Saccharomyces cerevisiae S288C: one gene and its partner. The main gene of each other region encodes a partner of the protein of the gene in region 2 in a complex. Each region holds a gene or a part of one and is shown on either strand. Other genes may lie near its edges. A codon is read from its position in the direction of its gene.

Region 1 (4,327 bases), on a different chromosome or scaffold from region 2:
GCTCTGCGGGTAATGAAATGGAAAGTTCAATGCATTCAAAATATACGCTTTTGAAGCGGTTACTTAGTTTGTGAGAGAAATATACATTATTACTGTAACTCTTTTCTAAATTTTTTGTATTTATTAATGCATTTCTGCTGGTTCCATCCTTTTATCTTCTCCGGTACCAAGAAATAAAATATCATGCTCAATGGATATTACGGCTTTTATTCCACGAAGAAAACAAGCTCTTTACTTTAGTCTTTATTTATATTCAGTTTCTCGGTTTCTTCTCTTAAAGCCTCGGTGGCTTCCTTGGTGACTTGTTCAATTTCTGTACCCTTTGTGATTTGGACCGAATTCTTGCCCTCAGTTTGTGTGTCTTCTTCATCATCTTCAGGTTCGACATCATACTTCTTCAAAAAGTATGTTTCCACTTCTTCCTTCCCGCTGTTCTCGGCCTCAAAGATAGCATCGTGGCCGAATTTGTTTCTAATAAAGGGGTCTGCCTCATATTCATCACACAGTAGCTTGACCACGTCTAATTTGCCATTCAACGACGCCCAATGTAAAGCCGTGTTGCCTGTTTTGTTCACCTCATTAACAAAAGCTTTCAAGTCTTCGGCACTATTTGCGCGAGAAACCGTCTCCAGTATATACCGAACGGTCTCTATATGACCGTTGGCAGCAGCCATATGTAAAGCCGTAGAATCAGATTCACTTTCCTTACAAGTCGAAAGTAACTCGGGACTGACTAAAGTTGTAAATATATCTTTCAGAGAATCCAAATCGCCAGCTCTTGCATCGAGTATTATGGTGTCTTGGTCCTCTTGATCTAACGGTTCACTGTGTAGGCCCATATCTGCGTATATGTAGATTTTTTTTTTCTATTTGGAAATAATTACTTTCTTTGAGATAGAGCGCGAACAATTTTGCCTATCGTATTACAATTCGTTTTTGTTTTACACAAATGATAATTAACTCATCGATTTTTTCTCAGATTCTCTTTTTCTTTTATTACTTTTCCTTCTTATTCTATGAAAATTTCATATCATCGTTCATGGTGATATTACCACGGTGACATCAAATGGAATTGTCCTATTTTTCTTTTCCTGTAATTAGTGGCGCGGGACTTTTTATTCCTCGTGGCAAAGAATGGCTACTAAGAGGAGAATAAGAGATGGTTAGAAGTATTTGGAAGCTTGATGACAGAATATTTTAAAATATAACTTAGCTTGCGTGTGCGTATTTGTATTCTTCGTGGTTACGATATGAACCAACGTGCAAGCGTGTGATATATCACATTCCGGAGGGTGTCACCCCCCCTCTCTCAACACAGTAATCCATAAACCAGTTTTACATACACGTAAAAAAGAACAGGAATAAAGCTTAATCGGATTATTAACTCATACGCTTGTCACATATTGTTCGAACAATTCTGGTTCTTTCGAGTTTCGCAGAACTTTTTGAATTTTTCTTTTTTTTCTAGAACGCCGTGGAAGAAAAACACGCGCATGGTTTTATGAGCGGTTAATTCTCATCTTAATACCAACCAGGTCCTTCCGCCACCCCCTAAAACATATAAATATGCAGCTTATCCCTTCAATTCTTAACATCTGTGACCTCCTCATTTCTTCCCGCTGTATTAGAGTTCAAGAAATCATACCTGATAGAAAATAGAGTCCTATAAACAAAAGCACAAACAAACACGCAAAGATATGGCTAGTGAAACTTTTGAATTTCAAGCTGAAATTACTCAGTTGATGAGTTTGATCATCAACACCGTCTATTCTAACAAGGAAATTTTCTTGAGAGAACTGATATCTAATGCCTCGGATGCGTTGGATAAAATTAGATACAAATCTTTGTCTGATCCAAAGCAATTGGAAACAGAACCAGATCTCTTTATTAGAATCACTCCAAAGCCAGAGCAAAAAGTTTTGGAAATCAGAGATTCTGGTATTGGTATGACCAAGGCTGAATTGATTAATAACTTGGGTACCATTGCCAAGTCTGGTACCAAAGCCTTCATGGAAGCTCTATCTGCTGGTGCCGATGTATCCATGATTGGTCAATTCGGTGTTGGTTTTTACTCTTTATTCTTAGTTGCCGACAGAGTTCAGGTTATTTCAAAGAGCAACGACGACGAACAATACATCTGGGAATCCAACGCTGGTGGTTCTTTCACTGTTACTCTAGACGAAGTTAATGAAAGAATTGGTAGGGGTACCATCTTGAGGTTATTCTTGAAAGATGACCAATTGGAGTACTTGGAAGAAAAGAGAATAAAGGAAGTTATCAAGAGACATTCTGAGTTCGTGGCCTACCCAATCCAATTAGTCGTCACCAAGGAAGTTGAAAAGGAAGTTCCAATTCCAGAAGAAGAAAAGAAAGACGAGGAAAAGAAGGATGAGGAAAAGAAGGATGAAGACGACAAGAAACCAAAATTGGAAGAAGTCGATGAAGAAGAGGAAAAGAAGCCAAAGACGAAAAAAGTTAAAGAAGAAGTTCAAGAGATAGAAGAACTAAACAAGACTAAGCCTTTGTGGACTAGAAACCCATCTGATATCACTCAAGAAGAATACAATGCTTTCTATAAGTCTATTTCAAACGACTGGGAAGACCCATTGTACGTTAAGCATTTCTCCGTTGAAGGTCAATTGGAATTTAGAGCTATCTTATTCATTCCAAAGAGAGCACCATTCGACTTGTTTGAGAGTAAAAAGAAGAAGAATAATATCAAGTTGTACGTTCGTCGTGTTTTCATCACTGATGAAGCTGAAGACTTGATTCCAGAGTGGTTATCTTTCGTCAAGGGTGTTGTTGACTCTGAGGATTTACCATTGAATTTGTCCAGAGAAATGTTACAACAAAATAAGATCATGAAGGTTATTAGAAAGAACATTGTCAAAAAGTTGATTGAAGCCTTCAACGAAATTGCTGAAGACTCTGAACAATTTGAAAAGTTCTACTCGGCTTTCTCCAAAAATATCAAGTTGGGTGTACATGAAGATACCCAAAACAGGGCTGCTTTGGCTAAGTTGTTACGTTACAACTCTACCAAGTCCGTAGATGAGTTGACTTCCTTAACTGATTACGTTACCAGAATGCCAGAACACCAAAAGAACATCTACTACATCACTGGTGAATCTCTAAAGGCTGTCGAAAAGTCTCCATTTTTGGATGCCTTGAAGGCTAAAAACTTCGAGGTTTTGTTCTTGACCGACCCAATTGATGAATACGCCTTCACTCAATTGAAGGAATTCGAAGGTAAAACTTTGGTTGACATTACTAAAGATTTCGAATTGGAAGAAACTGACGAAGAAAAAGCTGAAAGAGAGAAGGAGATCAAAGAATATGAACCATTGACCAAGGCCTTGAAAGAAATTTTGGGTGACCAAGTGGAGAAAGTTGTTGTTTCTTACAAATTGTTGGATGCCCCAGCTGCTATCAGAACTGGTCAATTTGGTTGGTCTGCTAACATGGAAAGAATCATGAAGGCTCAAGCCTTGAGAGACTCTTCCATGTCCTCCTACATGTCTTCCAAGAAGACTTTCGAAATTTCTCCAAAATCTCCAATTATCAAGGAATTGAAAAAGAGAGTTGACGAAGGTGGTGCTCAAGACAAGACTGTCAAGGACTTGACTAAGTTATTATATGAAACTGCTTTGTTGACTTCCGGCTTCAGTTTGGACGAACCAACTTCCTTTGCATCAAGAATTAACAGATTGATCTCTTTGGGTTTGAACATTGATGAGGATGAAGAAACAGAGACTGCTCCAGAAGCATCCACCGCAGCTCCGGTTGAAGAGGTTCCAGCTGACACCGAAATGGAAGAGGTAGATTAGGTAGAACATCATGGCCTTGAATAGGTTATAAACAAAACATAATATAACGTATAGGTATTCGAATGAATAAATAAGTATGTAAATAGGGCATCTGCATGGAAATAACTGGGTAAAACATTACAATGTATTTTTTTAGAGTTTTCACTATTCCGACGCGTCTAGTGTGTCATACAAAACGCGAAGAATCTGAAATCGTGAAATATACTTAAGAATATAACTGAAATAGCTTAAGCATAAATGGACTTTACTGCGAAGATAAAGGGTATGTTGAAACTCATCTGCTTTCATTATGCGTCCAACTAATTAACATTGCATATTTTCGTATACTATTTTTTTGTGTAGAGCTCGAACGAGAACTCTCAGAGACGAGTGACTATAAGACCTTGCAGAAGAAGACCATAAGTCTTCGAAGTGAGCTGAATACTCTGTCACATTCTTTGACATCTTATGAAAAAGAACACTTCTCCAATGATATAGAAAATGTATTAAAATCTATTAAT
Region 2 (7,859 bases):
CCCACTGGAAGACTTGACATCTTTCAAAAACCAGTTTCCTTGGTCATCAACTTTGAAACACCCATGGGTCCTGGATATCACTTTTGATTTGAACACTACGGGATGATACTGATCTGGAATTTTGGAAATTGCCTCTCTTACTCTTTCGGTGTATCTTCCGATGATAATTTGCGAGCCTGCGCCCGCAGTCCTGATAATGGGGTCAAAGAAAAGACCCTGGTTAGCCACAGACGTGGATGAAGTATCTATAAACGGGGTTAGCCTAATGCTGAAAAGCCCGTGCTTGTCCATTCTGCGTTTCAAAGTAGATTGGTCTATCCGTTCCGGTAGCGAGGTATTTGGTGGGAGATGTATATCAAGTGAAAACTCCGTCTGATTGACTTGGTTTGGAGGATATATGAAATGGCGGATACTCTTTGTAGTGTTCACCGCGGGGGCTGTATTCGTCTCCACAGTGGCAGCAGCAGCAGCAGTAGCACCAACATTGCCGTTTGCGCTACCGTTATTTGCAACGACTAAAGAAGTAGCCGTACGCGAGGGCAAAATACCTAAACCATTGCTAACGCTATTATTATTGCTGTTATTGTTAGGCGTATCGTTAATGGTGAGAGAGATGGATATCGGTAGTCTGATGGGATTGTTGAACTTGGTGTGATCGTGAGAGGTAGCGATGCCAGAAGCAGCAGGTGGCGTCTGGTTTGGGGGAGATGAGGGAACAGTATTAGTAGACATCCAGGAATAACCACTATACAGAACGTATGTGCACAGGAAATCGACACTGTAAGAAGAAAAGCTCACGGCACAAGAGTCAGAAACAGGGCAGTGAACAAAGAACGAGAAGTACGGTTTACAGTTGAGCCGTACACCGAGTTCCTCTTTGAATAATATCGAACCTATACACTAATGCACTAATGTGTTTCTGTTCACACCCAGAATTCTAAGGCTCCTGCTGATCCCAATGCTAAGGTTTATCAATTTTCTCATTCTCTTTGTGGGCCGTAAACAGTGATATTCTCTCACGAGAGCGCTTAAAGAGAATGGAGAAGCCCAGCCCCACCAGGCGGCAAACTAGTAGTCTCTCCACTATCTCCAACGGTATGACCATGACCAACGATAATAGGGATACCACAAATACCAACAGTGGCTCTACAAGCAGCAACAATTCACAACCATCTTCGTCTTCCACGCCACCAGCGGCCAGTGGACCCGTAACGGACAGAACCAAAGTCAACTATGTACCAAAGAGCGACGATCCGTCGTCATTTCAATACTACCCAGACGACCCGGAGAACCCGGTCAATAAGTATAAATTCGCGTTAAAGGCTGACAGTCAGTACTATGATCCTTGTGAGGAGTCCTCCAAGCTCAGTTTTCAGTGCCTCGAGCGCAACGATTACGACCGATCCAAGTGCCAAGAATATTTTGACGCATACCGCGAATGCAAGAAACAATGGCTGACAGCCAGGAGGAAAAACAGACAGCAGTGGGAATGAGGCAGCCTTTTCTTCTTGTTTGTTCAGCTGTGATCTGTTTTCTATATAGATCGCCACTACGCGACGTAGTGTTCCGACAGGCAGCCACAGCACACTCTAGTGCAATGTGAAAAACTAATTCGCAATGGTATGTAAATAAGCAAGCTAAATTGGATTTTCAAAGTGCGAATAAAGAATTTTTTGTATATATCTCTACATACTTGTATATACCGAACATAAGAAGCTCTTATGGCCGAAAACTCCCTCCTGAGGTTTATCACCAAGAACAAAGTGGCCATCCTAGCAACGGTCTCTGCGGGGACTGCTGCTGTGGGTGCTTATGTTTACTACCAGCAAATTAAGCAGCAGCAACAGCAGCAATTGAAGGGTACAAAAGACAACCGACGTCAAAGTGAGGCCTTTGCTGGTCAAAATGAAGACGAGGCGGACTTAAAGGACGACGGCAGCGTCGTAAGTGGAAGTAATAAGAGGAAGAAGAAGAAGAATAAACGCAAGAGGAACAATAAGGCAAAATCGGGAGAAGGGTTTGACTATCCCTCCTTGCCCAATGGCGAGCCTGATATTGCCCAATTGAAAGGCCTATCACCCTCCCAGAGACAAGCGTATGCCGTGCAACTGAAGAACAGAGGTAACCACTTCTTCACTGCTAAGAATTTTAATGAGGCCATCAAATACTACCAGTATGCCATTGAGCTGGACCCGAATGAACCAGTGTTCTATTCCAACATATCTGCTTGTTACATTTCTACGGGCGACTTAGAGAAGGTTATAGAGTTCACTACAAAGGCACTTGAGATAAAACCTGACCATTCTAAAGCCTTGCTGAGACGTGCATCTGCCAACGAGTCACTGGGCAACTTCACTGATGCTATGTTTGATCTATCTGTTTTGTCATTGAATGGTGACTTTGATGGAGCCTCCATTGAACCTATGCTGGAAAGAAATTTAAATAAGCAAGCAATGAAAGTACTAAATGAAAACCTATCGAAGGATGAAGGCAGAGGCTCGCAGGTTTTGCCGTCTAACACATCTCTGGCGTCATTTTTTGGGATTTTTGACTCTCACTTAGAAGTTTCTAGTGTGAACACCAGTTCAAACTACGATACTGCATACGCTCTATTGTCAGATGCTTTGCAAAGACTATATTCTGCAACAGATGAAGGTTACTTAGTAGCAAACGATCTTTTAACAAAGTCCACTGACATGTACCACTCTCTACTTTCTGCAAATACAGTGGACGATCCTTTAAGAGAGAATGCTGCCTTGGCATTGTGCTACACGGGTATTTTCCATTTCTTAAAAAATAACCTGTTAGATGCCCAAGTTCTTTTACAAGAATCTATAAACCTGCATCCAACACCAAATTCGTACATATTTTTGGCATTGACCTTGGCCGATAAAGAAAACTCTCAAGAATTTTTCAAATTTTTCCAAAAAGCTGTTGATCTAAACCCTGAGTATCCGCCAACCTATTACCACCGTGGGCAGATGTATTTTATTCTACAAGATTATAAAAATGCCAAGGAAGATTTCCAAAAGGCCCAAAGCTTGAACCCTGAAAATGTTTATCCCTACATTCAATTAGCCTGTTTGTTGTACAAGCAAGGTAAATTTACCGAATCTGAAGCTTTTTTCAATGAAACAAAGTTGAAGTTTCCTACCTTACCTGAGGTGCCCACCTTTTTCGCTGAAATCTTGACAGATAGGGGCGATTTTGATACTGCAATTAAACAATATGATATTGCTAAAAGGTTGGAAGAAGTGCAAGAAAAAATACATGTGGGTATAGGACCCTTGATTGGGAAAGCAACTATATTAGCTAGACAATCCTCTCAAGATCCAACCCAGTTGGATGAAGAGAAATTCAACGCAGCCATTAAGCTGCTGACAAAAGCCTGTGAATTAGATCCACGATCTGAACAAGCGAAGATCGGGTTAGCACAACTAAAATTACAAATGGAAAAAATTGACGAGGCCATAGAATTGTTTGAAGATTCTGCAATTTTAGCAAGAACTATGGATGAAAAACTTCAAGCTACTACCTTCGCGGAAGCTGCAAAGATACAAAAGCGTTTGAGGGCTGATCCAATCATAAGTGCAAAGATGGAGCTAACATTAGCTCGTTATAGGGCTAAAGGCATGCTTTAGAAGATATGTCAGGTATTGGTCAAATATATACTTTTAGTTAATACTGGATATGTTATAAAGGTTCTGTTAATGCCAAATCCATTTCAATTCTTTTCTTCCAAATATTGTACTGGTCGTCTGTGACCAAAATATTGGTGGTTTGTAACATCGATCCCAGTTTCCTAAATATAATTTCATCGTATCTGATGCCATCAAAATCATCATACCTAATTTGCAAATCTCTGAACCATTTTTCACCGATAATTAATTCCTTCACTAATTTTACACATTCAATAACATCATCCACTTTTGACGTCAACATCAAGCTGCACATCTTACTGACTATAAAATGGTCAATTCTTGGATCCTTGCGTCTTCTTTCATTAAATACAATGAATGTACAATTTAATACTAACCCACACACTAATTGCCATGGGCAAACCAATCTTGACGCGTTTATGTTGTACTCATCCACAATTTTATATGCTACTTCTCTTGGTAATTCAAAATCGTTGCAAAGCCGTATTATTTCTTCAGTAGTCATTTTGCAATACTTCTTTACTAACAAAGAATTTGGTATTCTGCCCCTTTTCCTCAGGGCTTTTGCCGTCTTCAATTCTGATTGCGGTTTTCCAACTGCCTTATTTTGTTTCGTTCTCCCGCTTCTGCTTTCTTGCACACCTAATGGCTCTTCCTCACTTGTAGGGTCACTTTCATGGTTTTCATACTCATCAGAATCTACATTTCTGGTTCCAGTAATGCTCTTATTACTATGGCTTTTTAAAGACAAACCGTCGTTTCCTGGTTCCTCTTCATCCTCATCCTCATCCTCTTCAAATGCTAACTTTCTCCTAGTAATAGACGGCGATTCATTGGTTTGCATGGGGGGTAGTTCTGGTATTACGAACGAATCATTATTTTGGCTTTTCCTAACTTTAGTTGGTGTACCAAACAGTTGATTCCTCAACTCTTTCGGATCAGAAGAAGTAAACCTCCCACCGTTCTTTACTGGACTGCGTTTGTTCTTTTTGGGGCTCGGTGTCCAAGCAAATTGTTTCATAGGTGAAGAATTAGATAAACTTTGTCTGAAAAGGTTCATTAAATGCTTGGCTTTTTTCGGCTCCAAGGGAATACTGTCTATATAATAGCAAAGGTCAGGCATGTGTTTTTCATTCATTTTCTGTGACGCTATGTATGCACATATGTGACATCTAGCAACCTCTTCATCTTGTTTCAGCATTACCTTGTTCAGTGAAGTATTATATAAAATCGATGTCGCATTAGTCAACTTCTTCAAATATCCGCTCGACCAGTCCGGTTTTTCTTGTGGATCTAGTCGAAGTACTTCTGCGACACAATGTTGGACTTGTTGCATGGACATGACTGGTTTTAATGGTATTGTTTTGGCCAATTTTATTTACTGATATTGTACACTTTTTTCTGCAATTTTAGTGTGAGATTTTTTTTTTCAATGCCGATTTCTTACTAACGTAAACAACGGCAAAGAACAAAGAAATACACAGTTTTATCACAAAGAGTTGATTTTTGCTGAAGAGAAGCGTGAGGAGTGTATTCGAAAGCCTTGCATATTCTGGACACTTGCGATTCTAGCTCTTTACGGACGCCCGCATTCTTTTTTCATACTCTGTTTCGTGCTGCTTTCACACAATATTTTTCAAAAGTTTCTTCTCATCGTTTTTCTGTTAGCAACCCTCAACTTACGAGAGAGTTGCGACTAGCATAGGTAACATTCCTTATTTGTTGAATCTTTATAAGAGGTCTCTGCGTTTAGAGAATGTCAAATTACTATAGAAGAGCACACGCGTCTTCTGGTTCATACAGACAACCCCAGGAACAGCCTCAATATTCGCGTTCTGGTCACTATCAGTATTCAAACGGCCATTCTCACCAACAATATTCTAGTCAATATAATCAACGTCGACGTTATAACCATAATGATGGTACAAGGCGACGCTATAATGACGATCGCCCACATAGTTCAAACAATGCAAGTACGCGACAGTACTATGCTACTAACAACAGCCAAAGCGGCCCATATGTAAATAAGAAATCTGACATCAGTAGTCGGAGGGGCATGTCTCAATCACGGTATTCAAATAGCAATGTTCACAATACATTAGCGTCTTCGAGTGGATCTCTTCCCACAGAATCTGCTCTGCTTTTGCAACAAAGACCACCTTCAGTTTTGAGATACAACACAGATAATTTGAAGTCTAAGTTTCATTATTTTGATCCCATAAAAGGCGAGTTCTTCAATAAGGATAAGATGCTTTCGTGGAAGGCTACAGATAAAGAATTTTCTGAAACAGGTTATTACGTAGTCAAAGAGTTACAAGATGGACAGTTTAAGTTCAAAATAAAACACAGACATCCGGAGATAAAAGCATCCGACCCACGTAATGAAAACGGTATCATGACTAGCGGAAAAGTGGCAACCCACAGAAAATGCAGGAACTCACTAATTCTATTGCCTCGCATATCTTATGACAGGTACTCCTTAGGGCCTCCCCCTTCATGTGAAATAGTTGTCTATCCAGCGCAAGATTCAACAACAACCAATATCCAAGACATATCAATAAAAAACTATTTTAAAAAGTATGGAGAAATTTCTCATTTTGAAGCATTTAATGATCCTAATAGCGCTTTACCTTTGCATGTTTATCTTATAAAGTATGCCAGTTCTGATGGAAAAATTAATGATGCAGCAAAAGCAGCCTTTAGTGCCGTTAGAAAGCACGAATCTTCGGGTTGCTTTATCATGGGCTTCAAGTTCGAAGTGATTTTAAACAAGCATTCCATTTTGAATAATATCATTTCTAAATTTGTTGAAATAAATGTCAAAAAGCTACAGAAGTTACAAGAGAACCTGAAGAAGGCTAAAGAGAAAGAAGCAGAAAACGAAAAAGCAAAGGAATTACAGGGCAAAGATATTACCTTGCCCAAGGAACCTAAGGTAGACACATTATCTCATTCGTCCGGAAGTGAAAAAAGAATTCCATATGATCTCTTGGGGGTAGTTAATAACAGACCTGTTTTACATGTCTCCAAAATATTTGTTGCCAAACATAGGTTCTGCGTTGAGGACTTTAAATACAAGTTAAGGGGATACAGATGTGCGAAATTTATTGATCATCCAACTGGTATCTATATTATTTTTAATGACATTGCCCATGCGCAAACATGTTCGAATGCAGAGTCAGGAAATTTAACAATAATGTCTCGGAGCAGAAGAATTCCTATTCTAATAAAGTTTCATCTCATTCTCCCTAGGTTCCAAAACAGAACTAGATTCAATAAATCTAGCTCATCTTCAAATTCTACAAATGTACCTATAAAATACGAGTCCAAAGAGGAGTTCATTGAAGCTACAGCAAAACAAATATTAAAAGATTTGGAAAAGACTTTACATGTTGATATTAAGAAGAGATTGATTGGTCCTACGGTATTTGATGCTTTGGACCATGCAAATTTTCCTGAATTGTTAGCTAAAAGAGAACTAAAGGAGAAAGAGAAGAGACAACAGATTGCATCTAAAATTGCTGAAGATGAATTGAAACGTAAAGAAGAAGCCAAAAGAGATTTTGATTTGTTTGGTTTATATGGTGGCTATGCAAAATCTAATAAAAGAAATTTAAAAAGGCATAATTCACTCGCGTTGGATCATACTTCTTTAAAGAGGAAAAAGCTATCCAATGGTATCAAACCAATGGCACATTTACTGAACGAAGAAACCGATTCCAAAGAAACTACCCCATTGAACGATGAAGGGATCACTCGCGTATCAAAAGAACATGATGAAGAAGACGAAAATATGACATCTTCATCTTCTGAAGAAGAGGAAGAAGAAGCTCCAGATAAGAAATTCAAGAGTGAGTCTGAGCCAACCACCCCCGAATCTGATCACCTTCATGGTATTAAGCCGTTAGTACCCGATCAAAATGGGTCGTCTGACGTACTGGATGCTTCTTCGATGTATAAACCTACTGCTACCGAAATTCCCGAACCTGTATATCCACCTGAGGAATATGACTTGAAATATAGTCAGACTTTATCTTCTATGGATTTGCAGAATGCTATCAAAGATGAGGAAGATATGCTAATTTTAAAGCAGTTATTGAGCACATATACTCCTACCGTCACACCAGAAACAAGCGCAGCTCTGGAATATAAAATTTGGCAATCTCGCCGAAAAGTTCTTGAAGAAGAGAAGGCTTCCGA

Evidence for each region.
Region 1: the proteins of TOM71 (region 2) and HSP82 are in contact, whole or in part, in a crystal structure (PDB 3FP2), measured with the Saccharomyces cerevisiae proteins. Residues at the interface, in NP_011985.1 of Saccharomyces cerevisiae: Lys131 (codon at 2,112), Asn135 (codon at 2,124), Phe138 (codon at 2,133), Tyr150 (codon at 2,169), Val162 (codon at 2,205), Asn166 (codon at 2,217), Ala169 (codon at 2,226), His194 (codon at 2,301), Lys196 (codon at 2,307), Leu199 (codon at 2,316), Arg200 (codon at 2,319); in NP_015084.1 of Saccharomyces cerevisiae: Met705 (codon at 3,810), Glu706 (codon at 3,813), Glu707 (codon at 3,816), Val708 (codon at 3,819), Asp709 (codon at 3,822).

What each region holds. Positions count from the first base shown.
Region 1 is NC_001148.4:95,996-100,322, reverse strand, and holds HSP82 (Hsp90 family chaperone HSP82), read left to right. Parts: upstream 1-1,697; coding exon 1,698-3,827; downstream 3,828-4,327. Other genes in the region: YAR1 (Yar1p), read right to left, coding at 237-839; GTPase-activating protein CIN2, read left to right, coding at 4,065-4,089, 4,170-4,327. UniProt on the Saccharomyces cerevisiae protein: Molecular chaperone that promotes the maturation, structural maintenance and proper regulation of specific target proteins involved in cell cycle control and signal transduction. Undergoes a functional cycle that is linked to its ATPase activity.
Region 2 is NC_001140.6:340,628-348,486, forward strand, and holds TOM71 (protein channel TOM71), read left to right. Parts: upstream 1-1,721; coding exon 1,722-3,641; downstream 3,642-7,859. Other genes in the region: ubiquitin-conjugating protein DMA1, read right to left, coding at 1-732; COX23 (Cox23p), read left to right, coding at 1,038-1,493; ORC6 (origin recognition complex subunit 6), read right to left, coding at 3,694-5,001; histone methyltransferase SET1, read left to right, coding at 5,416-7,859.